Linked DNA regions of Neurospora crassa OR74A. The protein of the gene in region 1 interacts with the protein of each later gene in a pairwise test. Links are inferred from orthologs where the notes say so. Each region holds a gene or a part of one and is shown in the gene's direction. Other genes may lie near its edges. The genes, in order: NCU10273, NCU06708 and NCU05313.

Region 1 (7,644 bases):
GCTCAAGCTCATGGACCTTCTTGAAACTTCCTCTTCTTCGTCATCATCATCATCATCATCATCATCATCAACAATTACAAGCACACCAAAAGACCTCAACAGCCGCCTAGGTGCCCTGCTCAACGAGACGCAGGATTCGTGTCGCGAGGTGTACGAGTGCTCATGTGAGGAGATTGATCGGATATGCGCGATTGCTCGGCAGGCGGGCAGCTACGGGAGTCGGTTGACGGGTGCGGGATGGGGTGGATGTAGTGTGCACTTGGTGCCGGCGGACAAGGTGAGTAATGTCAAGGAGGCACTAGAGAGGGAGTATTATAGCAAGTTAGAGTTGACGGAGGAGCAGAGGGAGGGGGCAGTGGTGGTTAGTAAGCCGGGGTCTGGAAGTGCGCTTTATTTGGGTGGGAAGGAAGGGTTGGCTTGATGGATGCTGAATAGGGGTTTGTGACTACTTATGAAGCCTGTGGTTGAATTAGTATGTTACATAGGGAAACCACTAAAAGTTCAATATACACTGACTGTTGGGGAAAGTGACGAAAAGACTGTGTTCTTCATCCAGTCAATTTCCCTGGTAATTGATCGCTCAACTTGTGTCTTTACAGCCATGATAGCTATCATGGTTATCGTCAAACAGTCCTAGAATATATACACGGAAAAACGCTATGTGAACCCCTCTCACCAATTTCACCATGAGGGGATAAAAAAAGAAAACCAGAGGAACATATATATACAAAGGCCAGAAAGGACACCAACAAGCAGTTGTAACGCCAAAACCCATGTAAATGCACACCCAGACCACGGCCCAATTCGCTGCATAGTGCCAATCGCCCAACCTGTCCCAATTTCTCGCTGGATCAATAACACGTCTCACCCAACACCATTATTCTTCCAAAAATTCACGTCTGTTCAAGTACTGACCAAAACCACCCCCGCCTTGAACGCGAGATGAGACTGGCAAAGTCCTACTGATTACCAGTGCCAGCGCCAGCGCCAGCAGCCCTCCGATTAGACCTTTGTCCTCCTCCTCCTTCTCCCCCCCTTTTTCTCACAATTCTCCGCGCCTTCTTCGCTTGCACATTCCTGTACTTGGCATACAGCTCAAACACGTCCCTGATCACCACGAACAGACAGCCACCAGCCAGACTGCGTCCCCATCTCTGTTGCAGCAGACCGCCGGGCCCTCCTTGCATGATTTTTCCACTCCTAAAGAACCCCGACGTGACAATGGCCTTGGGTGGGGAAGTCCACGACCTCGGTAGTGAGAGGCGGAGAAGCTCGCCCATGCCGTACGAGATGAAGGGGAAGAGAAGAGAGGTGACTACGTTGTTGGTGAGATCGGTGAAGGAAACCAGGGGGAGTTCCACGCCGTCTTGGTCGTCGTCGTTCCTTTCCCGTGCTGCGGGCTGTGGGGGTGGAGCTGCTGCTGCTGGCGCGGGCGCTGGCGCGGGCGCTGGCACTGCTGGGGCCGGGATGCGAGCCTCGGCTTCTGCTGCTTGGGCTGGTGCTGCTGGCGCGGGCGCTGGCACTGCTGGGGCCGGGATGCGAGCCTCGGCTTCTGCTGCTTGGGCTGGTGCTGCTTGGGCTGGTGCTACTTGGGCTGGTGCTGCTTGGGCTGGTGCTGCTTGGGCTGGTGCTGCTTGGGCTGGTGCTGCTTGGGCTGGTGCTGCGTGGGCTGGTGCTGCGTGGGCTGGTGCCGCTTGGGCTGGTGCTGGTTCGGGTGGAGCTGGTCGTGGTTGTGGTTGTAGACCCCCTTCCCAAACCATACCAATTGGTACGCCTTGATACTGTGGAGGCACATCCCAAAGCCCACCTGATGCACCGTCGATGGCAGTGGGAATCTCCTCATTGTGAGGCCCCGGACGGTGAAGGTCGGAGAATAGGAAATCATCGAAGTCGAAGCCATGGTTACCGTTGACGGCATTATTGTTGACGGCATTGTTGTTGACGGCATTAGCGCCTACTTCGAAGTCGGAGCCATCGTTATCGTTGACGGCATGAGCGCCTAGTTCCCAAGGATCATCTAGATTTGCTTCGTTCTGGTCTGGGGGGTTGATGAGGGCAATCCAAGCGGTGCGGCCCAGGTCTAGGAGATCGGACATGCTGAAGCGGCTTCCACGGTCTTGATTTCCATTGTTGTTGTTGTTTCCGGCCTCGGATTCGCCGGCGGCACTATCGATGGGCTGAAGGCTGCTTTCGAGACCCCGTAGAGCCCGGTTGAGGCGATCGTCGATCGGGCTTAGCCAGTAATTGTAGAATCTGATATAACTCATATGTAGATAAGGCATCATAACCATTGCCCACGTGGGTGAGGGCGGCCATGTTGGGTGATCGTCCTGGGTTATGAGTGCCAAGCCGTACTGATGAGGTGAAAGGTTAGAGTCAGCATCGACCGTGGAGATAGGATGAGGAAAAGGGTTGACAAACCATGGCGGAGAATGGAACAAAAAAGAAATTAGCCAGGAACGGCAAAGCTCGACTAAGGACGACGGCCGGAGCAATGGATGATAGCGACCACAGCCTCATCATTATTCTCCCTACTCGCGCACTTCTTGCCACGGGTACGGCAACAGCTTGACCGGGAGTAATCTGAAGGCCGACCCACCCGAGTGCAGTCTCGTAGCCAGCAAACCAGGAGGCAGCGACAACACCGTATGTAGCAGAGCTGGCAAAGGTACCGCTCACGGCCATGGACGCGAGGATAATGGGCGACACCTTGCTGAACTGCGAATGTATCGTATCGCGCAGAGCCACGACAAAGTCAAAGGGCTCCTCGACCTTGAAGGGAGCCTTGCACTGCGGACAAGTCACGTCGTCACGGCTGTTCCGCTTTTGGATCTCTTCGTACCATCGTATAAGGCATGTCTCGTGGACGGGCAAACTGCATGTACAAGGATGGATGACCGGTTCGGTAGTGTGTTCGCCTTCATCCTCGTAACAGATGCAGCATCGCTTGAAGTTGTCTGTGTTGGAACGTGTGAGGTTATTTGGTACGGGGTCTGGGCCGGCTCGTGAGCTGGTGCTTGGCGTCGCCATCTTGGGCTTGGTCGGGTGTGAGGGAGGAATGATTCGGTAACCGTCGTGGTCGTCGCCGTTATCGCTACAATATACAAGCAGTGGAAATGGTTATGGATTAATATCGAGACAGCGGGAACAGCAGAACCTGGCGTGGTTCAGGTCAGCAGACCGCCTTGTTATATCCGCAGAGAAGACATAAGTAGGTATGTACCGACAAGAAGGAGTGGACGACGGACGGTGGAAAGCAGCGCCGTCAACCTAATAGAAGGCGGGAGCGAAGCCCGAGCTGTGAAGGCTGTTTTTTTTTAAAAAGAATAAAAAATTAGGGCGCTGTCTTGAACCGCAATCGCAACCGCGACGGACTGTCAACGGGGCGTTGCGTTGTGCATTTCACATGCGTGACATCAGCGAGGCTCCACCCAACGGCACCGGGAGCGCATCGCAATGGAACCCCAAGGGTTCGGGTTTTGGTGGTGGGGGATCTGTACAGTTAAGCGCGTGCTGCGATGCTTATCCGGGCCCGGCTTTCATCGTCTACTACACATCATTTTTTGTAGAAGCTTAAGCCAGCCGCTGACCCCGCAGTTGCCCTCGTCTGCAAGGATATTGTACACTGGGCGATTGGGCGTTTGATTGCCCGCCCCATCCAATTCTAGAAGCGTCCCGCTGTTGCAGCCCCTCTGCCATCCCCTCCATTCGGACCAGTGTGCTGTACCTACCCATTCCCCCATTGTACAGACCGCCCGCCCGCCCGCCCGCATCCGTCTTTCTTGTCAGGTCATATCTCTTAAGGTACCCCGTGGCCCAACCAAAATAACCCAATACTCAAACTTCACGACATTATTTCTCTCTCTTTTAGATACCCCTAGATCGACAACGCTCACATCATACACAAGATGGTACGCCATATCAACTTCCCTCCGTTTCCTCGAACTAGATGAAAGCTAACCCTGCTCCTCCGCCTCTCAAACAGACGACAACAAAGCAGCGCCTCGCGCTCGCCATCTGCGACTTCCTCAACACCTCCTTGACCGACGGCACCCTCCAAGCCGACGACAAGGACAACATCGACATTGCCGTCAACTGCATCGGCGAGGCCTTTGGTGTCGACCCCTCCGATAAGGCCGCCGTGACCGAGGCCATCGGCTCCCAGAACCTGCTCCAGATCTACTCCGTCTACGAGAAGCTCAAGCAAACCAAGCCCGCCGCCGCCTCTGCCTCTTCCACCACCTCCTCCTCTTCCGCCGCCCCTGCTGCGGCCAGCACCAGCAGCAATGGCCCCACAGAAGAAGACAAGAAGCAAGCCGAATCCCTCAAGTCCAAAGGCAACGCCGCCATGGCCCAAAAGGACTACCCAACCGCCATCGACTTCTACACCCAGGCGCTCACTCTAAACCCAGGCAACGCCGTCTACCTGTCCAACCGCGCGGCCGCCCACTCTGCCGCGCGCGACCACGAGTCCGCTCGCGCCGATGCCGAGGCCGCCGTCGCCATCGACCCCAAGTACACCAAGGCGTGGAGCCGCCTGGGCCTTGCGCGCTTCGCCCTCGGCGATGCTAAGGGCGCCATGGAGGCGTACCAGAAGGGTATTGAGTACGAGGGCAACGGCGGTAGTGAGGCCATGAAGAAGGGATTTGAGACGGCCAAGAGGAGGGTTGAGGAGCTCGAGGCTCAGAATGATGCGCCTGCCGCCCGTGGCGGTGCCGGTGGTGCCGGTGGCATGCCTGATTTGAGCAGCTTGGCGAGCATGTTCGGCGGTGGTGGTGGTGGTGCGGGCACTGGCGCTGGCGCCGGTGCTGGTGGTGGTGGTGGTGGCATGCCCGATTTTGGCTCCATCATGAACAACCCCATGTTCGCCCAGATGGCCCAGAACCTCATGAGCAACCCCGACATGATGTCCAACCTTATGAACAACCCCCGTCTCAGGGAAATGGCGAACCAGTTCCAGGGCGGCGGTGGTCTGCCTGACATGTCTTCGCTTATGAACGATCCCAACATTGCCGATTTGTAAGTCTATTCCTTTGATTCTTCTTAGCTTCTGGGAGTTCAAACACACTAACAAGATTGATAGGGCGCGCTCGTTCATGGGTGGTGGTGGTGCTGGCGGTGCCGGTGGTGCTGGCGGAAGGTAACGAGCTGATAGAAGTGTTGAGGGATGATTTATGATTCTTGCAGCATTTCTTTACCCGCTTAGCTCAGGTATAATAAAACAAGTTGGCATAGTATGAGTCCAGTGTACAAGCAGGCCATGAGTCTAGTCTACGATTGGATTTCATGCTCTCCTTTTAAAGGCTGAACTATACTTTTTGTGCTCTACAGGGTCCCTGCGCTGATGCATGAGCTTCACGAGGACCCCCAACTTGTCTGCGATTTTGAACTTCGAATACATCAATGTATTCAAGAGCCTCTCAGGCTACTAGCCCCTATTTCGAGTATTGAATCTACCACCCATACCTTATATACAATTCCCAACAAAACACTAAACAATCCCATTTTCCCCTGTCAACCATCCAGCTGATTAAACCATCCCTCATACTCCGCAATCCGCAAATGTTGAATGTCCCTAACCCTTGATTATCCCTTTCCAACCCTCTATTTTGATCATCTCTGCTGACGTTTTCTACGTGTACCTGTTTCTGTCTTGTCCGGTTTCATCGTCCCATCAAATCATTGCTTAACCAACCCAGCGTCTAGCGCTCCTGAACATCCTCAACCAAGGGCCGAACTCGCCCCACTGGGCAAGCTGGTCCTCGGGAGCGTAGCTCGTCACACCAGCCATGATGGTTCTCTCAGGGTGAGGCATCATGGCCAGGACACGGCCATCCCTGCTGGCCACACCGGCAATACCAGCCGGGCTGCCGTTGGGGTTGAAGGGGTACTCCTCCGTGACGTTCAGGCGGTTATCGACGTAGCGGATGGGGATACCGTTCTGCTCAGTGAGCGCCTGGAAGTCAGCCTGCGAGTCGAACTCGGCGCGGCCCTCGCCGTGGGAGACGACGATAGGAAGGCTGGATCCGCCCATGCCGTTGAAGAAGACCGAGTTTTTGGTTGCCTCTCCTTCCTCGATCTTGACCATGCTGTAGCGGGCCTCGAACTGGGCCGAGGCGTTCTGCACAAACGTGGGGAAGTGCTCGGCGCCGGGGATCAGCGACCGGAGACGGGAAAGCATCTGGCAGCCGTTGCAGACGCCCAAGCTGAAGGTGTCCTTGCGGTTGAAAAAGGCCTCGAGCTCGGCGCGGGCCTTCTCGTGCAGCAGAATGGACTTGGCCCAACCCTGGCCGGCGCCGAGGACGTCACCGTACGAGAAGCCACCGCAGGCGGCAAGACCGACGAAGTCGGCGAGCGAGCGGCCGTTGATGATGTCGGTCATGTGAACGTCCACCGCATCGAAGCCAGCGGCACGGAAGGCGAAGGCCATTTCGGCGTAGCCGTTGACACCCTGCTCTCTGAGGATGGCAACACGAGGCGTCTTGCCGAAGAAGCCAGTGATGGAGGCAGTGAAGGGAACGATGTTCTCGGCGGGAGAATAGGTAAGGGTGTAGGAGAGACCGGGGTCTTGAGAGTCGAGGATAGCAGCATACTCAGAGTCGGCACACGCCGGGGTGTCTCTCAACTTCTGCATCTCGTACGAGGTCTTGCTCCACCACTGCTGCATCTCAGCCCGGTCAAGGGTCACGAAGGGCTTGCCCTCGCCGTAGCGAATGGCAAGTGTCTGCTTGGCAGTGGGCAGAACGACACCAATCTTGCGAATCAGGCCAGCAGGAGGGCCGCAAGTGGCGAAGCAGCGCTTGAAGTTGGTCTCGTCCTCGGCACGAACCTGGAAGACGGCACCAAGCTCCTCGTTGAAGAGCGCATCGGTAAGATCGGCCAAGCTTCCGGACTTGGAAACGCCGTCCAAAGTCAAGTCGACGCCGCAGCGACCGGCGAACATCATCTCGGCAACAGTAGTGATCAAACCACCATCGGACCTGTCATGGTAGGCAAGGACGACGCCGCTCTCGTGGAGCTGCGCAAGAGCATCGAAGTAGTCCTTGAGGAGATCCACATCGCGCACATCAGGCGCCTCGTGGCCAATCGCGCCGAAGGACTGAGCAAGAGCAGAGCCACCCAGAGCCTTGAAGCCCTTGGCCAAGTCGACGAACAGGAGAACAGTCTCGCCAACTTCTTCCACGCGACGAAGCTGAGGGGTCCATGTAGTGCGAACGTCCTCAACGGTGGTAAAGGCGGAGATAACGACGGAAACAGGAGCAGTGACGCTCTTCTTGACCTCGCCATCCTTCCAGGATGCCTTCATAGAGGTCGAGTCCTTTCCAACGGGGATGCTGATGCCGAGCTCAGGGCACAGCTCCATACCAATGGCCTCGACGGCCTCGTAAAGAGCGGCACCCTCACCAGGGTGATTCACAGCGGCCATCCAGTTGGCGGAAAGCTTGACGCGCCTGAGATCACCACGCTGGGACCCGGCCTTGATATCGGCAGCACCAAGGTTCAACAAACTTTCGGCGACCGCCATTCTAGCAGAAGCAGCAGGAGAAATGAGAGCAAGAGTGGGCTTCTCACCCATAGCCATGGCCTCGCCACCCTTGACGCCGTTAAGACCAAACGAGGAGAGGGTGACAGCGACATCGGCAA
Region 2 (7,304 bases), on another chromosome or scaffold:
TGGTATCTTTGTTGCCCAGTCGTTCTCAAACTCCTTTATCAGAAAATCGTCATAGTCGCCTCGTTTGTGCTTTTCATGAGCGACCCAGGCCTCCTGAAGCCATTGTTCATCATGTCGACCCCGCTCAATGTTTTCAAGGTACCGAGCACAATCATATCTGAAGTGATCGTTGTTGCGCAAGGAGACAAGATCCGGTCGGGCAATCTCGGTCCCTGGGTCCAAGATATGGCTGTCGTCGGGGAATTTAGCGAGGATGTCTTTCCTCTCATCTGGTGTCAACACATCCCATGCTCGTGGAAGCAGCAGAATCGCCTATGGTCAAGTGTCAGATCATGGATGTGGGATAATTTTTGTGAGAGGGAAGAGGTACGAACTCTGAGATCAGCATTGGTAAGAGGTGATTTCTCATCGGTATAGACGAAAGGTGCTTCCCACTTTCTGTCCAGGTTTGTTTTCTTTGGTGCATCTCCGGCATGTCGTGGCCTTTTAGTAGTGCTAGATTTGTCCTGGTCCGAGGCTTTACGCTTTCCGAGCTCAGTACCCAGCTGCTCATCACTGCTTCCAGAATGACGTGTAGCTTTCGAACTCCATGCATCGGTTTTAAGGACGGCTTCCTCTGGCGTTTGCCCACTTGCCCTTTTGCGTGCCCTTTTCGTCACTGTACTTGGGTCCTCATTTTTCGGACCTTTGAAGCCCTGTCCATTGATCGAGGAATCGGCGACTGTTGCTGCTTTAATTGCCGGTGTGGCGATTTCCTTCTCAACTTCCAGGTCCTGTACTGCCGAATCCGCATGCGCATCCTGCGGACTCAAAGCTTTTGGCTCGCCTACATCCGCTGGAACGGCCTCAGCCTTGAACGAAACTGAGCGAGCCGCTGCTGAAACTCCTTTTCGCGGCTGTTCAAAAGCATAAACACAATGCGTGCCAGATCCAGAACATCGTGAGCAGATTGGCTTCTCTTTTAGGCACTATCGCAGCTGTCAGACACAAAAACAATCGGGGAATATCCAGAGTTTCCGACCAACCTTCAGCTTGTTCTCACGGCAAGGAGTACACGCGCCCCTCGTCAGTTTTGGTTTGAGGATATTGCGTGAATCAGCCACACCCTCTTTAGAACTGACTGCTTCAGGCAATGATTTTCTCTTCTTGGGAACGGAACTTGGCGCAGCTGATGGAGCAATTGGTTCTTCTTCACGTGTTGGAACTTCTGGTTTATTGACTGATCGTAGTTTCGGTGGTGGGAGATTTATGGCGGCCCAGGATGTAGACCCTTTCTCTTCTGGTTGCTGAGCTTCTAACTGATCAGATGGTCGAAATTCTGTCTTGTTTTCAGGGCAAGCACTTGGTGCCGCCAACGGCGTGGCCGGTTCTCCTTCAGGTTCTTCAGGTCCTTGAACCTCTGGCTCCTTGACATATCCTTGCTCGACTGCTGGCTTTTTGGCCGCTGGCTTTTTGGCCGCTGACCTTTTGGTTGCTGACCTTTTGGCCGCTGACCTTTTGGTTGCTGACCTTTTGGTTGCTGTCTTTTTGGTTGCTGGCTCCTCGACTGTTGGTTCCTCGACTGTTGGTTCCTCGACTGTTGGTTCCTCGACTGTTGGTTCCTCGACTGTTGGTTCCTCGACTGTTGGTTCCTCGACTGTTTGTTCCTCAATTGCTGGTTCCTCAACTGCTGGTTCCTCAACTGCTGGTACCTCGACTGCTGGTTCCTCGACTGCTGGTTCCTCGACTGCTGGTTCCTCGACTGCTGGTTCCTCGACTGCTGGTTCCTCGACTGCTGGTTCCTCAACTGCTGGTTCCTCGACCGTTGACTTTTCGGCTGCTATCTCCTCCAAAGTCACCTGCGCAGCAGTATCAATCTTTTGGACAAGGATAGCATCCCAGTCCCCACTCACGCTCCGGGGAGGTGAGGCCGGAGGAGAAGAGAGGACGGAGGACAGCGGAGAACTACTTCCTTCTTCAGCCATCCTTCAGGACACCTTCAGTTAGTCGCCTTTCTGGAAAGATAATTATTGCGTGTTGAAGTTGTTCAAGGAGTGATCGAACGCGGCAGTGTGGGTTTGCCGGCAAAGGAAAAATTACCGTCAAGTCAGATCTGGATCTAGACAGATCCGGAACTACTTAGTTGTTGTGATATTAAACAATACCAGATAGCAGAAACTGGCAGAATGGCGCCGTGAAAGTCACCGTTTGTCTTTCGTAAGTCAATGATGGTTCATGCGGCCAATATGGCTGTGGTTACATCTGCGAACAAACTGATGTCTGGTGGAAGGGAGGGGAGAAAGTGGGGGGTTTATAAAAGTAGAGAATGAGATGCGTTCAGGTGAAAATGTGGTCAACGAAACGAACCGAAGTGGTACTACCTTGAGTACAAGTTGACGCGCAAGGTTGGGAGGATGTGCGAGGGAACGAGGTGGAACTGAACTTGATCTAACCACCACTCTGAACTGGGAGGGGGATTATACTGACTGTGATGAATGATAGGTACCTCTAGGTAAGTAGGTAGATATTCCACCTCCAGCTCCCCTTCCCCGATGTTGTTCGGTTGAAGATGCTCCTTCTTCAAGTCGTTGTGTGATGGACAGGATGGGTGGGGATGGAAGCTGAAAGGCGCCAAGCCCGGGCAGCCACTTGCATGACACACCCCGGAAGCTAGAGGTAGCTTGTACATACTGCATAGTAGGCGTGAATAGCGGGCCGGGCGAGACTGCCTGCTCGCACTATTTAACTACCTAAACAAAACTAACTTGCAGGCCCTGCAGGGTGAACTTTCAACACATTTCCAGCGGCAGTACCGTCATCAGTGTCCCGTTTGACGACTTGTAATCCTTGATAAGGAAACACACGTTGGCCTGGCGAAATCATTGCATCACTCTACCTACGGGTAATGTTTTGTTTTCTTTATATAGCCATGTAAAGAAAAAAAAAAAACAAGAAAGAGGATAGCGAATTACAATCTGGTCTGCTGGTCGACAGGGAAAGAAGCATGCAATTGAACAAGAGAATTCGTCGGTGCGAGTTGGTTGCGGTACCTAGGTAGAAGCCACGTACCTGGCTGCTTTTGACGGATCACTCCCACTCGTCATCACAAGCTTTTATAAACCTTGCCTTGTTCACTGTCCTCTCCAACGACACCAACTTAACAAATCCAAGCACGCAACTGAACTGGCCTTGATTTCGAGTTGCACAACGATACTAAAGGTCGCCAAAAACAACACAATGAAAAAGGAGTGATATAACCTATTCTTCACAATGATCCGCTCAACACAAATTGCACGGCTGGATGGTTCGTGCCCCCCCCCCCCCCCCCCCTAACTAACCCCCTCGACCAACATCTGTGTGCCTATGGAGATGTCAATGTCTTGTCCGGTAGCTAACCAAGACCCCTCCCCTCAAAACACAGGCCTCATGCTCTGCGCTTCCGTCGACGACGAAGCAACTGAATCCTCCCTCAGCGAAGTCAAGTCCCAAGTCAAACTAATTCTGCGCCGCCTAACGCGCACCTCGGAACCGCAAGCCAGCATCGAGAGCGGCTCTCTCTACACGCTGCACTACCTGATTCAGTCCGACATCGTATACTTCGCCATTACGGACCGGTCGTACCCGCGCAAGCTAGCCTTCACCTACCTTTCCGACATTGCGGGCGAGTTCGCGACGACGCACACCCCGGCACAGCTCATGAACCCGACGCTGCGGCCCTATGCCTTTATGGACTTTGACAGCTTCATCAGCCGCACCAAGGCGACTTACAGCGACACGCGTGCGACTCAGAACCTGGATAAGCTGCATGATGAGCTTAGGGACGTGACCAAAGTCATGACCAAGAACATTGAGGATCTGCTGTACCGCGGCGACAGCCTGGAGCGCATGGGCGAGCTGAGCAGTAGGCTGAGGGACGATAGCAAGAAGTACAAGAGGGCGGCTGTTAAGATCAACTGGGATTTGCTGCTGAAGCAGTACGGCCCCTTTGCGGCGGTCGGTTCCATTATCATCTTCTTCTTGTGGTGGAGATTCTTCTTTTGAGTGCATCCCAGGCAGGGAGCATCACCGGTAGCGGGTTAGCATGATACCGTCGGGTGGGTTTCCTCAGTCAGCCTGGCTCTGTATGATGCTGTGACGGATAGCCTACGTGGATTCTGTAATTATTTTAATATGTGTTTGTAGGGCATTGGTTTTTGGCGCTTGACCTAGCATGGAGTTTGGGTAAAGGAGGTTGGGGGGAAAGGGGGGCAAACGCAAAAGGACGTTTGGCCAGGTGAGGTTTCAGCTATCAAGACATGTTGCTTATAGGTTCCTGCTTTCCACTCCTTCATCCGATGCCTTCCTAAAGCCTGACAAGGTCTCTATGGATGACTGTACCACAGTGTCACCGATGCTCAATCATGCGTATCTCCTGGTTCATTCCAGACCGGCATCTCTTCTGCTCGACACGCTATTTCTGTCAAGCGATGATACAAAATCTCCATCTGAGATAGCCTATCGGTCTCTTTCCCTACTTGAAGTAGAAGCTCTTGCCCCCCCAAACTCCAATTCCAAACCCGTTTTTTTTTTTTTTTCTTTTTTTCAATTTTGTTGTTCTCAATCCAGAACATAAACCGACACCCTGGACACTAAGCCCAAGCTTGAACCACCCGCACACGCACCCGCAAGCCTCAATCACATAATCAAACAACTCCCCGCCGCCTTTGGCAATAACGCCGGTATACTCGGCACCGGCAACGCCGTATGATACCATTCCAAATGCTCCTGGAAGCTGGCCAAGTCCTCGAACCCCCTCTCGTCCTGTGCCCACTTGACCTCGTCCTCGCTGTCCTCACCCTGGTCCACGTACGTGTATTCGTCGCAGTAGGGACACCATATCCTCGCCAGCCAATCGCCAGGGACGGGGGCAATGTGGTTCGCAATTGCTAAGGGCGCGAAAACGACCGTCTTAGCTTCGCCTGTTTTGGCGCTTACGCCTTGGGCTTGCCAGTGGGGATATGTGTTTTCTGTTGCTGTTGTTGTCTCTGTCTGTGCTTCTTTTGTTGTTGTGGTGGTGGTGGTGGTAGTGATGGTTGACGATGGCAGAATTGCTGCTGGATATGAGGCCGTCACTATGGTCGGTAGTATGAGCTTTCTTGGAGAGTTTCTCGCTATCGTCGTTGATGTCGGGAAACTTGCTGTCGTACTTGCACTCCCTCCATTCGTCTTATCCAACGCCGCCCTCGTAGATGGCATCCTCTGTAGATCCGGCCAGACGATGAACCCGTCGCAAAAGTCGCATACAAAGGCCACGTCGTGCTCCCCAAACCTCTCGAACCTCCCAACCGCGTTGCAACATGGAACCAGATCCTCAAGGCTTAGCCTCCTCCCCCTTCTCAACGCCGGCCGTAATGCCTCGTCCGTTGTCCCTGTACGGTTTTGTTGTTGCTGTTGTTGTTGTTGTTGTTGCTGCGGATGCTGCTGATCTTGATACTCATGTCGTTGCCACGGCGGTATACTTTCGAGGTCCCTCTGCTTGCTTCCCCCTTCCCTAATCTCCTTTTCCCGCTTCTCTTCCTCCTTCTGCTTCCGTAGCCGCTCAGTTTCCTCGTTTCTTCGCTGCTGGCGATACACCTGGTAGGCACCCAGACACCGTGTCCACGGCCCTTCCTGCTCGGCCGCGAATATGCGCCGAGAGGCACGGCATTGCGTGCGGTGAAGCTCTAGTTGGAGTTCCTTGGTCTCGCTGAGCCAAGTTGGGTTGATCGGCCCACCTTGCCGAATCCAGTCTTTGTAGTTGCGGGCGTGGAATTCATATTTGACCAGGAGGGCACGCAATTCGTTGAGGGACTCGGCTTTTTGAGAGGGTTAGTTGGTAGAGCAGGCAAGGAGAAGCTTTATCTGAGTGGGATTTTTGGGAAGGAAAGGAGTGATGATGATGGTGATGGAGGCGTGTGAGTGAAAGTGCCAGGCGAAATAGTCAGCCACCAGCAGAGGAAAGATGACGTGAGTCTGAGAAAGAGCACGGTGAGGGTCAGAAAAGATTCAAGATATCATGGTATACTTACGAGTCCTGTCTCCTTCATAGTAAAACTGCCCATTGACCAAGCGCCCCAGTTCCTGAAAATCTGTCTTTGCATCATCCAACGCTTCTTCAAGGGCGCGAATCTGTTCAAACTCGTCAGGGCCCCAGTGGCGCTTGTCGGCAAATCTGAGTGCGCGAAGTGAGTCGCTCAAGTGAGTCGCAATGCTGGCCAACAGCGACCCGACCGTGTCGTGATTCGTGCTGGGACCTGTACTCATATCTTTTTTTGGCGATGGTTGCTTTGCTGGCTATGACCTCTTGATATCGGATCCCCCTCCACCTCCTCCCGTTGATATCCTTTGTCTAAGCCGTTATCGTCGTGTCGTCGTGTTCAAGCGCTTATTATTGGCCTTGGTTCCCCTCGCCTAGCGTATGCTCAATGCCGCTTTAATAGCAGTAGATGACCGCGAGTGGATGTAGACTTGGACTACCAACGAGACTCTCGTCACTAACAGAAGTCGAGCTTGGGGGGCTTGTAGGTGAGACTATCCGTCTAGGAGGTAGGTATCTACGAATGCGCAGCGATGAAGTGTTGTCTTGCGTCGTCATTAAGTGGATACACCGAGCCCCGATCCGGTAGCTGTAAGTACGGATGAGCTGAAGAAGGATTTCATCACAGAGTTGGACATGTGAGAAAGGGGCCAGCCAGGGAACGAAACATCACATGGAAGGAAGACTCGGTCGCCCAGGAAGGAAATGGGGATGGATCAATGGATGTCGAATCGTCGTGCAACGGGGGTTCGGGGCCCGGGCGCTTGGATACGATCCGACGGTTACGCCGGCGGGACCTACCTCCTCTAGAGGTATGTCGGGCACTGCTAGGCTATTGGAAGGGCCCTGTGGATCTCTCCTTGGCGGAGACAGGCAGACGTGGAAGCTAGTCCGCTGCCTTTTTGTACACTACCTTAGGTAGGTACTTACCACTACGTACAAACACAACACAGGAAGCTGCATCAGGTCGGGGGAGAAGTTGCTGCAGTGTGGCAGCGGAACAACGGGTGCCATCCAAACTCTTCAAAACGGAACCCTGTAAAAGGACAGCAAGGTGCTCATCAACTAGGGTTATTTTGACTCGTATTGTTGGTGATGGGAGGGCCAGGCCCCCTGCTGTAGTAGCGCATCTGAATGGGTAATCAATGAATGGGACGGGGGTTCGGGGACGGTTTTGTTTGCGAAACGTGGAAATCGTGGAGATCTTGGCGGGGAGCATTTCTCCCTAGGTGCTTAGAGTCGGTACACTAGAGGCCCATATGGAGGCCTC
Region 3 (7,390 bases), about 1.3 Mb from region 1:
GATTGAAGGCTGTCGAGGACTTTTTCCCCGTCCAACCTTATCTTTGGACTTGGTGTCATGTTGACTTCATTGATGGTTGAACTTCGGCTCAGCTTTGACACCCATGCCGATGGGCTGATAAGACGAAGCGATGGGACGATCGCGGGGCTTCCTCAGTCCGGATGTACGTCGGTTAAGTGACACAAAGGGACCGGTGAACATGTACATATGCAACTTGTGGCCGTCAAGCAGGAATCTCGATCATCTCATGGAACGACAAGTGGAAAGAGGGGGCATCGTTCTTGGTGGTGTCCAGATTCTTGCAAGAGCGGATCGAAAACGTAAGGGAATGGCTGCCAAGACCTCATTATTCCGGGGCACGTCAACCGCTGGAGGTGTTCACGGCCCGCTAAGAACAGCCCCTTGTGATGATCTGGTTGCTCATTCGGCGCCTGCCGAAGTGTCAAAGCGGGCGTAGTGGACCCTGAAACTGCTTCCCCAGCTTTTAAGCTCCGACCGATCCCTGTTTCCAAACGGCTCAAGTCCCCCCTGCTTTTTCCCGGTTCACTCTCCGTTTCCCCGTCTTGCGCACTTCAAGCCCGTTACACTTTACATCCGTCATGGCCCTCGGAGCCTAGACAAAATCTCCCCCAAATAACAAACTCTTATCAAGTCGTAAACTCAAACTGTACTAGTTCAGTGCCACAACCTCGGGTCAGGGAACAAGATAACCAAGGGAACTGTGCTCCAAGCGCACGCACGGCATGTTGGTCTCAGCGGCAGATATGCCCCTCGCCTGCAAGAAAATCCAATAAGCTGCATACCTTATACAGCTTCATAGACCCCCTCCCACCTCACTCTCCAACTCGCCGTCAAAACGCAAACCAGAAAACCGAGGCCTTCACTCCAGGGTTTCGACATCCTCAACATCATCTGTTGCCACAGACCGCAAACACCCCGCACAGACACCATGGCCTTCCTCAACCCCGTCCATGGACTCGTTGTCCCCTTCCTCTGCCTCTTCACCATTCCCATGGCCATCTTCGCGAGTATCACCTCCGCCCTCGCCTTCTCTTTGCTCATGTTCCGCGTAGCCATCGTCTACGTCGACATAGCCATGGCATTCGTCCCCCAGTTCATCAAAGGCCGTCACTACCATAGCGTCACTGACGGCGAACTTCTTACTCCACGCCGTCTATCCTCTAGTAGCACAGGCAGCGTCGGAAACAGAGCCGCCGGGGATAGTGAGGACAACTCGCCCTTAGCCGTCGTCTCTCCCTCCCCTTACTACTACAACGGTTACGACTCCCACCAACGGAGTCCTCTCCGCCGCAAGAGCAGCTACGGCTTTGGCACCGTTCGTCGCTCTCGCCGCTCTAGTCAAGCATCCATCTCGCCTACCATCGCTTCCATCCGGGAAGACGCCGAGATGGTTCCCCCTCTGCCCGAGACCGGCGGGCTGGCTCCCTCGGTCGGCATCCAGCGAGACTTTGAAGGAGTAGGCGGGTGGCGACTGAACGACAGCAATGACGACGACGACGCCTGGCAGAACATCAACTCACGGCTGGAACTGCCGATGGAAAGGTGCTCCAGCTTTGTGGGTCGGTACCACCACAGTCTGAGCCATCGATCGCATAGTGCTGGGCCGTCGCAATCGTTGGAGGCGGGTTGGATGGGGGGAAGTACTAATGGTAGAAAGGGGACTTTGAGAAGTGGAAATGGCACAGCTGGATCGGGACATTGTGCCGAGGCGCAAACGAATAATTGGCATGGTACGGGCGCCAGGGCGAATAAGAGCGCTTTTGGAAGCATATCGAAGATGGCGCTGCCGCCGGGGGATAGGAGGAACAATCACCGTAATGGAAACGGGGTGTCGCCGATGGGTATGGGGATGTGGGAGAAGGAGCAAGAGTACTTTGCGGGTTTCACTTCTCAGAAAGGGAAGTGGAGGCCTACGGCGTGAATAATTGTCATGTTATGTTTGTCTAATTTTGCTGATCTGGACAATGTTCGTATACGTAACCAGGGCCCCTTTTTTTTTTTTTTTTTTTTTTTTTTTTTTTTTTTTTTTTTTTTTTTCGTTAAACAGATACAGACACTGTTATGACAAGTTACAAGGATAGAACACGTCTGGGTATTAGCGAAAAGCGATAATAAAGCAAAACATACTTCAATATGATCACGCTAAGAAATCCGACTTGTTTTGAAACAACAAAATAATGACATGGTATTATTCCCACCCAAACTCCTCCAGACGCCGATCCCATCCATCCATGCATCATATCCCTTTCGCAAGCGTCCGTAACCTCATCCTAGCCCAACCTTCCCATCATACCCCATCCCCAGCCATCTCACATTACCCCCAAGCAACCGCCCCTACAACGTCTGCCAAAAATAATTGGCATAAAAGAACCTCGAAAACCGATGCCGGTCCACATTAACCACGCACACATCCCCCCGCCTATCATTCCGCACCACCGCCCTCGTAAACTCCCCTCCATCCTGCTCCTCCCTCTCAATCTCGATTCCCAAGCTCCTATACACCTTCAACCTCACAACAACACCTCATCCTCCACGCTCCTGACCTGGCCCCCATTCCCGGCACTGCCGTTCCCATTATTTTCTCCCGTCGATGTGGCACCACCAGCAGCAGAAGCATCACCACCATCAACCCCCTGCAACTCCAACTCCTGCAACCGCGCCTGTAGTTCCGCCAATTGCGTCTGTAGTCGCTCCGTCTCCATTTCTAGATCTGAAACATTTTTCGCCACGCGGAACTTTTGCGTGTCGAGACGGGAAATCAACGAGGCGTGCTCGGCGGAACTGTGCGAGGACGTGACTTCTTGGTGCTGGGACTGTAAGGTGTTGAGGGTGCGCGCGAGTTTCTTGAGGTTGGTTTCGGATTCGCGCAGGCGGAGGTCGCGCGCTTGTTGTAGCGTGGAAAGTGATTCGGCGACGCGCGAGACGGCGTGGCGGTCGGGCGTGATGTTGAAGTTTTGGGTCGTGTGGGCGATTAGCTTGAAGGGAGGGAGGGGGTTAGTGGGTGGTTGATAGAGAGAAAGAAAGAGGGAGGGGTGGGTAAGGGGGATGGGAAGAGAGGGAGATGAAGAGGGGGAGGTTCTTTGGTAGGTTGGAGTGATGTAGAATGAACGGGGAAGCTTACGGTGGAGGGGTCTTCTTCGAGAAGCATTTTGGCAGGTTTAGTTTGACTTGAGGTTGGTGTTCTGTTTTAATTCGGGTATATGTAAATATTTGCTTCTGCGATCGAGTTGAATTTATGAGTTCCGTGACGGTAAAAGTGTGCTCGTTTAGTTTCTGTTGTTGTAGAAAAGTGTTTGTTCGCGAACGAACTCGAGGTCGCGAATGGTTTGTTGTTGTGTCGCAATTGTCGAGTCCCAAACCAAACAACAGCGGGACCCATTCATCCTGGGCGACGACGGGACCTAGCGGGACAGGAGCCGCAACAGGACCTGAAGTGGGACATTCCCTTATCTTATCGCAGATTTACATGGGGACGGGACCTCGGGCTATCACCGGTCAAGGATCGGGCATGCTGCAGTGGGTTTCCCCAGTGTCGTTCGTCATCGGTGGCACATTAAACAGAGCTCCAGCCACGCGATAAAACTACTGGCGGCACTCTCAGCTATCATTAACCTGGTAATTCCAGAACCTTGCTGTCCACCTCCGTCTCACACCACCACTACCTACCTTACCTACAAACCCGAGATACCAGAGTCGCCCGCTGCCGCACAATTCACGACCATATACCTACTTCTATTCAGGATACCAGTTTTCTTGTTCCTTCAACTAAATACACCCAGCTTGTCAAAATGACACAACTTCCCTGTAGGTGCTGGTCAGCTCATGGGACTCGTTTTCATTGTTCTTCCAAGCTTGGCACAGGTAGCTAACATCCGTGGTTACAGATGCAGTGGATGCGGAAACGTGAGTCCCCGAGTTGCACAATCGCCCCAGGATCGCCGAGTCATCTAACCAACGACGATAACGATGCAGTCCGCTCAACCCCGCCGAGCTCAATGTTCTCCGGGCGCAATATGAGAAGGAGGGAGAGATGGTTGGCGTCCAGACCAAGTTCAACTACGCATGGGTACGAACCAACACCCATGATTCCCGTTGAAAAGAAATATAAACTAAATAACTTCTTTACGAAATGCTACAGGGCCTAGTAAAGTCCAACGTACGAGCCGACCAACACCTCGGTGTCATGCTGCTATCAGAAATCTTCCGAACATCGCCCGAGCGCCGCCGCGAATGCCTATACTACCTCGCCCTCGGCAACTACAAGCTCGGTAACTACGCGCAAGCGAGGAAATACAACGACGCCCTCCTAGAAAACGAGCCGGCAAACCTCCAGGCCGCCAACCTCCGAGCCCTGATTGACGACAAGGTGACCAAGGAGGGCTTGATGGGAGTGGCCATCATTAGTGGTGTGGCGGTTGCCGCCGGTGTCATAGGAGGCGTTTTGCTCAGGAACTTGGGCCGCAAGAGGTAGTGGGTAGGAGGGTGAGCCGGTCGCCTGATGGATGATGACATATGGCACAAGGTGAAAGGGCAGAAAAGGCCGCTCCTTGATGACGATATGGGACAACAGGGTCCGGTGTGTATATTATGGGCTATGATTTGACGAGCTGAATCCTCTTTTCCTTCTTTAAAGTCCCGATAACTGGATTACAGACATTCCTTTCTATAAGACATGGGTTATTTGGTTCACATCCCCCACTTCCCCCAACTACCTATCTTAGATTGTTGTTGGCTTGTTAGACTCCATCTCTGGAGATGCTCTTTCTTGAATCGAACTCGGCTCACGCCCTAAATTCGCTTTATTTGACGGCGTGGACTTTGGTTACTGCATCTAGAAGCGATCCCAGAGATTGGATGCTCGAAGACGTCGCGGGTGTTAGTTCTTGGCGCTAGCCTTGAAGAACTGCCAGGTGTGACAACAGTCAACGCAGAGGTGCTCCTCTTTGAAGGCTTAGACCCCGTGACGGTGTTACTGTACCTCTCGCTTTGTTTATGTTGGAAAGCCTTGGTATCACATTGTCATTCCAAAAACCATATTGTAGCGTTAGAGGTATCAATCGTGTTACTAAACGATATATCAATACATACACCCAATACCGTACCCTACCATTGTTGCTCCTCAAAGATGTGTGCCTTGCCGTGCCTTGCCCCGGTCATAGCCCACTTTCGTGCATGCGGGACCATTTGTCTCAGGGTCAGGCTGCAGCTCGACGCCGACACATTGGCTCACTTCTCCTGTTAACGACCTGCGACATGCTTAATCGGGTCCCTTGGGCTTTCCATGCTGCACCTAATGAAGCCCAGGGCAGACTTCATTTCTTCCCCTCATCAGGCCGTTAAGAAATGCAGTATCAATGTGACATGAAACATTGCCCATATTCTACCTTGAACCCCATCCGATTCATGATTCACGGGTCGTGGATGAGTATGGAAAAGGACTACCTACTTGCAACATTGTAATACATCCAGTATGTCTCAGCATCAACATTGGACAGATACATCAGTGAACTATATAAAGGGACAAAAAAGAGTGAGGGCCATATTGACCCGTGGCGAGTATAAGAAGGGAAAAGAACAATTAGGTAATTACCAGGATCCATTATACATCCTGGTCTCAAATTACCGTACGCAGAGGTAACGCTGTGACGCATGCCCGGCCTGCGCCGACTTTCCGAGGCCTAACCAAATACAGCGGTTACAGCGATACCCAGGGTCCAATGGGATGGCTGTCATCCCTCTTTTATTGCTCGGTCGGATCTTACCTCAGCGCAAGGCAGGGAGGCAGGTACAGACACCACCTACATCGATCTAGCAAACGGCTGAACCTTCTCCAACAAACCGACCTTGTGCCATCATCCATTCCATTCCTTTTCTCCTAACAATAGAACCCTCGCCACAAAAGAGCCGACAGCCTCGAACGACGGAAGATTCCCCTTGACAACGCGCAAGATCCGATACCTGTCCATTAAAGTTGTGCCGCGCGACTGCTCCATCCCGTTGATGCCGTCGCCGCTGCGAATCCTTGAATGTAGGACGCCAACGCTGTAGATCACAGCAGCTGCATCAAGAACATCGACTCCATCATAGTGGGGCAGCCACTTCACTTCACTTCACTCAAACAACCTACATCACCTAGTACTTCAAGTGCCAGACCTCCACCTACAATTAGTATCCTCGCCATATTACGCGCGGGCTTCTTGAATTCCGAAGCCAACTGTATAATCCTTGGAGATCTCCTCTCCGTCATTCGAAACACTCGCCGACCCCGATATCAAACATCAAACTGGCCCTGCGAGGAGCGCTCCAAACCATCGGCCTCACCGTCCAGTTAGGGCTCGCCGCCTTTGCTGCTTACAACGCAACCCAAAGGCTGCTGGGCCGACCGACGGCGATGGCCTCTCCCGGATTTCCCCCGAGGCATCTCGATGCGACAACGGGTAGAGAAGTCGTCTACTGCTATGGCTGCGAAAACGAGTGGTATCGTGACGATTACCCCCATCTGGACCTAGAATGCCCCAGGTGTCACAATGATTTCGTCCAGATTGTGGGTTCTCCCATCTACCGTCCAGCTATCGCCACGCTAACCTTTGTACAGGTCGAACCTGACAACGATCCCCGACCAGGTGTTCAACAACAAGGTCACCGTTCAGACTCGGACCCGGAGGAAGATGACATAGAGCAGTTCCTCGAGCGTGGCCCCGGGTCCTTCTTCATGCGACGATCGGTGTACCAATCGCCAGATAGTCCCTTCAACCGTTCAAGTGGGAACGGTCTTGAGGATCTTGATAGCAGTCCGGACCGGCCGCGTGCCCGCCCAGATGATCCTGGCGAGGCCGTGTTGTCGCGGTTCGCCGACATGTTTGTCGAGTTAAGCGGCGCGAGGCCGGGACAGCAAGGGGGAAACGCCTTTGGGACACAGCCGCGGATACAACGTACAACCTTCACCAGAGCAGGAGACGGCATGGCTAGCTTTACCTTCACGACCACGACAACTGCAGGAGGCCCAGCGGGAGACGGGCCGGAAGCGCCCGCTTTTGACACGTATGTTCGCTCGCGACATGGCAATGGTTTCCCTGGAATTCGCAGACACACAATCATTGTTGTGACTAATAGGAGGGCTAACTCGAACGGTGATGGCAGTCTGTTTAGGGGTCTCTTTGGCAACATCCCGCCGCCGGGCGCAGAAGACCCCGGTGGCGGCCAGGGCCAGGGCCAAGGCGGTGGTCCACGAGGGCCTCCTCTTGGATTTGCCACTGGCCTGCAGGACTTTATCGCGACATTGCTGAACCCACAGGCGGCAGTCCATGGCGATGCCGTGTATACCCAGGAGGCACTCGACCGCATTATAACGACCCTCATGGAAGCTAAC

What was found.
Region 2: the proteins of NCU10273 (region 1) and NCU06708 interact in binary tests that used the Saccharomyces cerevisiae proteins (3 or more experiments, as listed by UniProt). The link is inferred for Neurospora crassa OR74A from reciprocal best matches to the Saccharomyces cerevisiae genes SGT2 and SEC22.
Region 3: the proteins of NCU10273 (region 1) and NCU05313 interact in binary tests that used the Saccharomyces cerevisiae proteins (3 or more experiments, as listed by UniProt). The link is inferred for Neurospora crassa OR74A from reciprocal best matches to the Saccharomyces cerevisiae genes SGT2 and FIS1.

The regions. Positions count from the first base shown.
Region 1 is NC_026504.1:4,099,358-4,107,001, forward strand, and holds NCU10273 (Hsc70 cochaperone), read left to right. Parts: upstream 1-3,745; 5' UTR 3,746-3,908; coding exon 3,909-3,911; intron 3,912-3,985; coding exon 3,986-5,019; intron 5,020-5,083; coding exon 5,084-5,144; 3' UTR 5,145-5,511; downstream 5,512-7,644. Other genes in the region: NCU08687 (galactokinase), read left to right, coding at 1-421; NCU08686 (hypothetical protein), read right to left, coding at 960-1,475, 1,545-2,354, 2,422-3,030; NCU08685 (phosphoribosylformylglycinamidine synthase), read right to left, coding at 5,687-7,644. UniProt on the Saccharomyces cerevisiae protein: Co-chaperone that binds to the molecular chaperone Hsp70 (SSA1 and SSA2). Regulates Hsp70 ATPase activity. Required for recovery from heat shock.
Region 2 is NC_026505.1:4,346,282-4,353,585, forward strand, and holds NCU06708 (protein transporter sec22), read left to right. Parts: upstream 1-3,087; 5' UTR 3,088-3,249; coding exon 3,250-3,283; intron 3,284-3,400; coding exon 3,401-4,020; 3' UTR 4,021-4,394; downstream 4,395-7,304. Other genes in the region: NCU06707 (uncharacterized protein), read right to left, coding at 1-312, 375-968, 1,026-1,964; NCU06709 (hypothetical protein), read right to left, coding at 4,654-5,813, 6,027-6,261. UniProt on the Saccharomyces cerevisiae protein: Nonessential SNARE involved in targeting and fusion of ER-derived transport vesicles with the Golgi complex as well as Golgi-derived retrograde transport vesicles with the ER.
Region 3 is NC_026504.1:5,369,424-5,376,813, reverse strand, and holds NCU05313 (mitochondria fission 1 protein), read left to right. Parts: upstream 1-3,527; 5' UTR 3,528-3,809; coding exon 3,810-3,825; intron 3,826-3,905; coding exon 3,906-3,924; intron 3,925-3,993; coding exon 3,994-4,087; intron 4,088-4,159; coding exon 4,160-4,492; 3' UTR 4,493-5,118; downstream 5,119-7,390. Other genes in the region: NCU05311 (hypothetical protein), read left to right, coding at 950-1,942; NCU05312 (hypothetical protein), read right to left, coding at 2,532-2,996, 3,143-3,169; NCU05314 (hypothetical protein), read left to right, coding at 6,413-6,565, 6,617-7,062, 7,162-7,390. UniProt on the Saccharomyces cerevisiae protein: Has a role in mitochondrial fission. Has a role in outer membrane fission but not matrix separation. Required for targeting MDV1 to the mitochondria.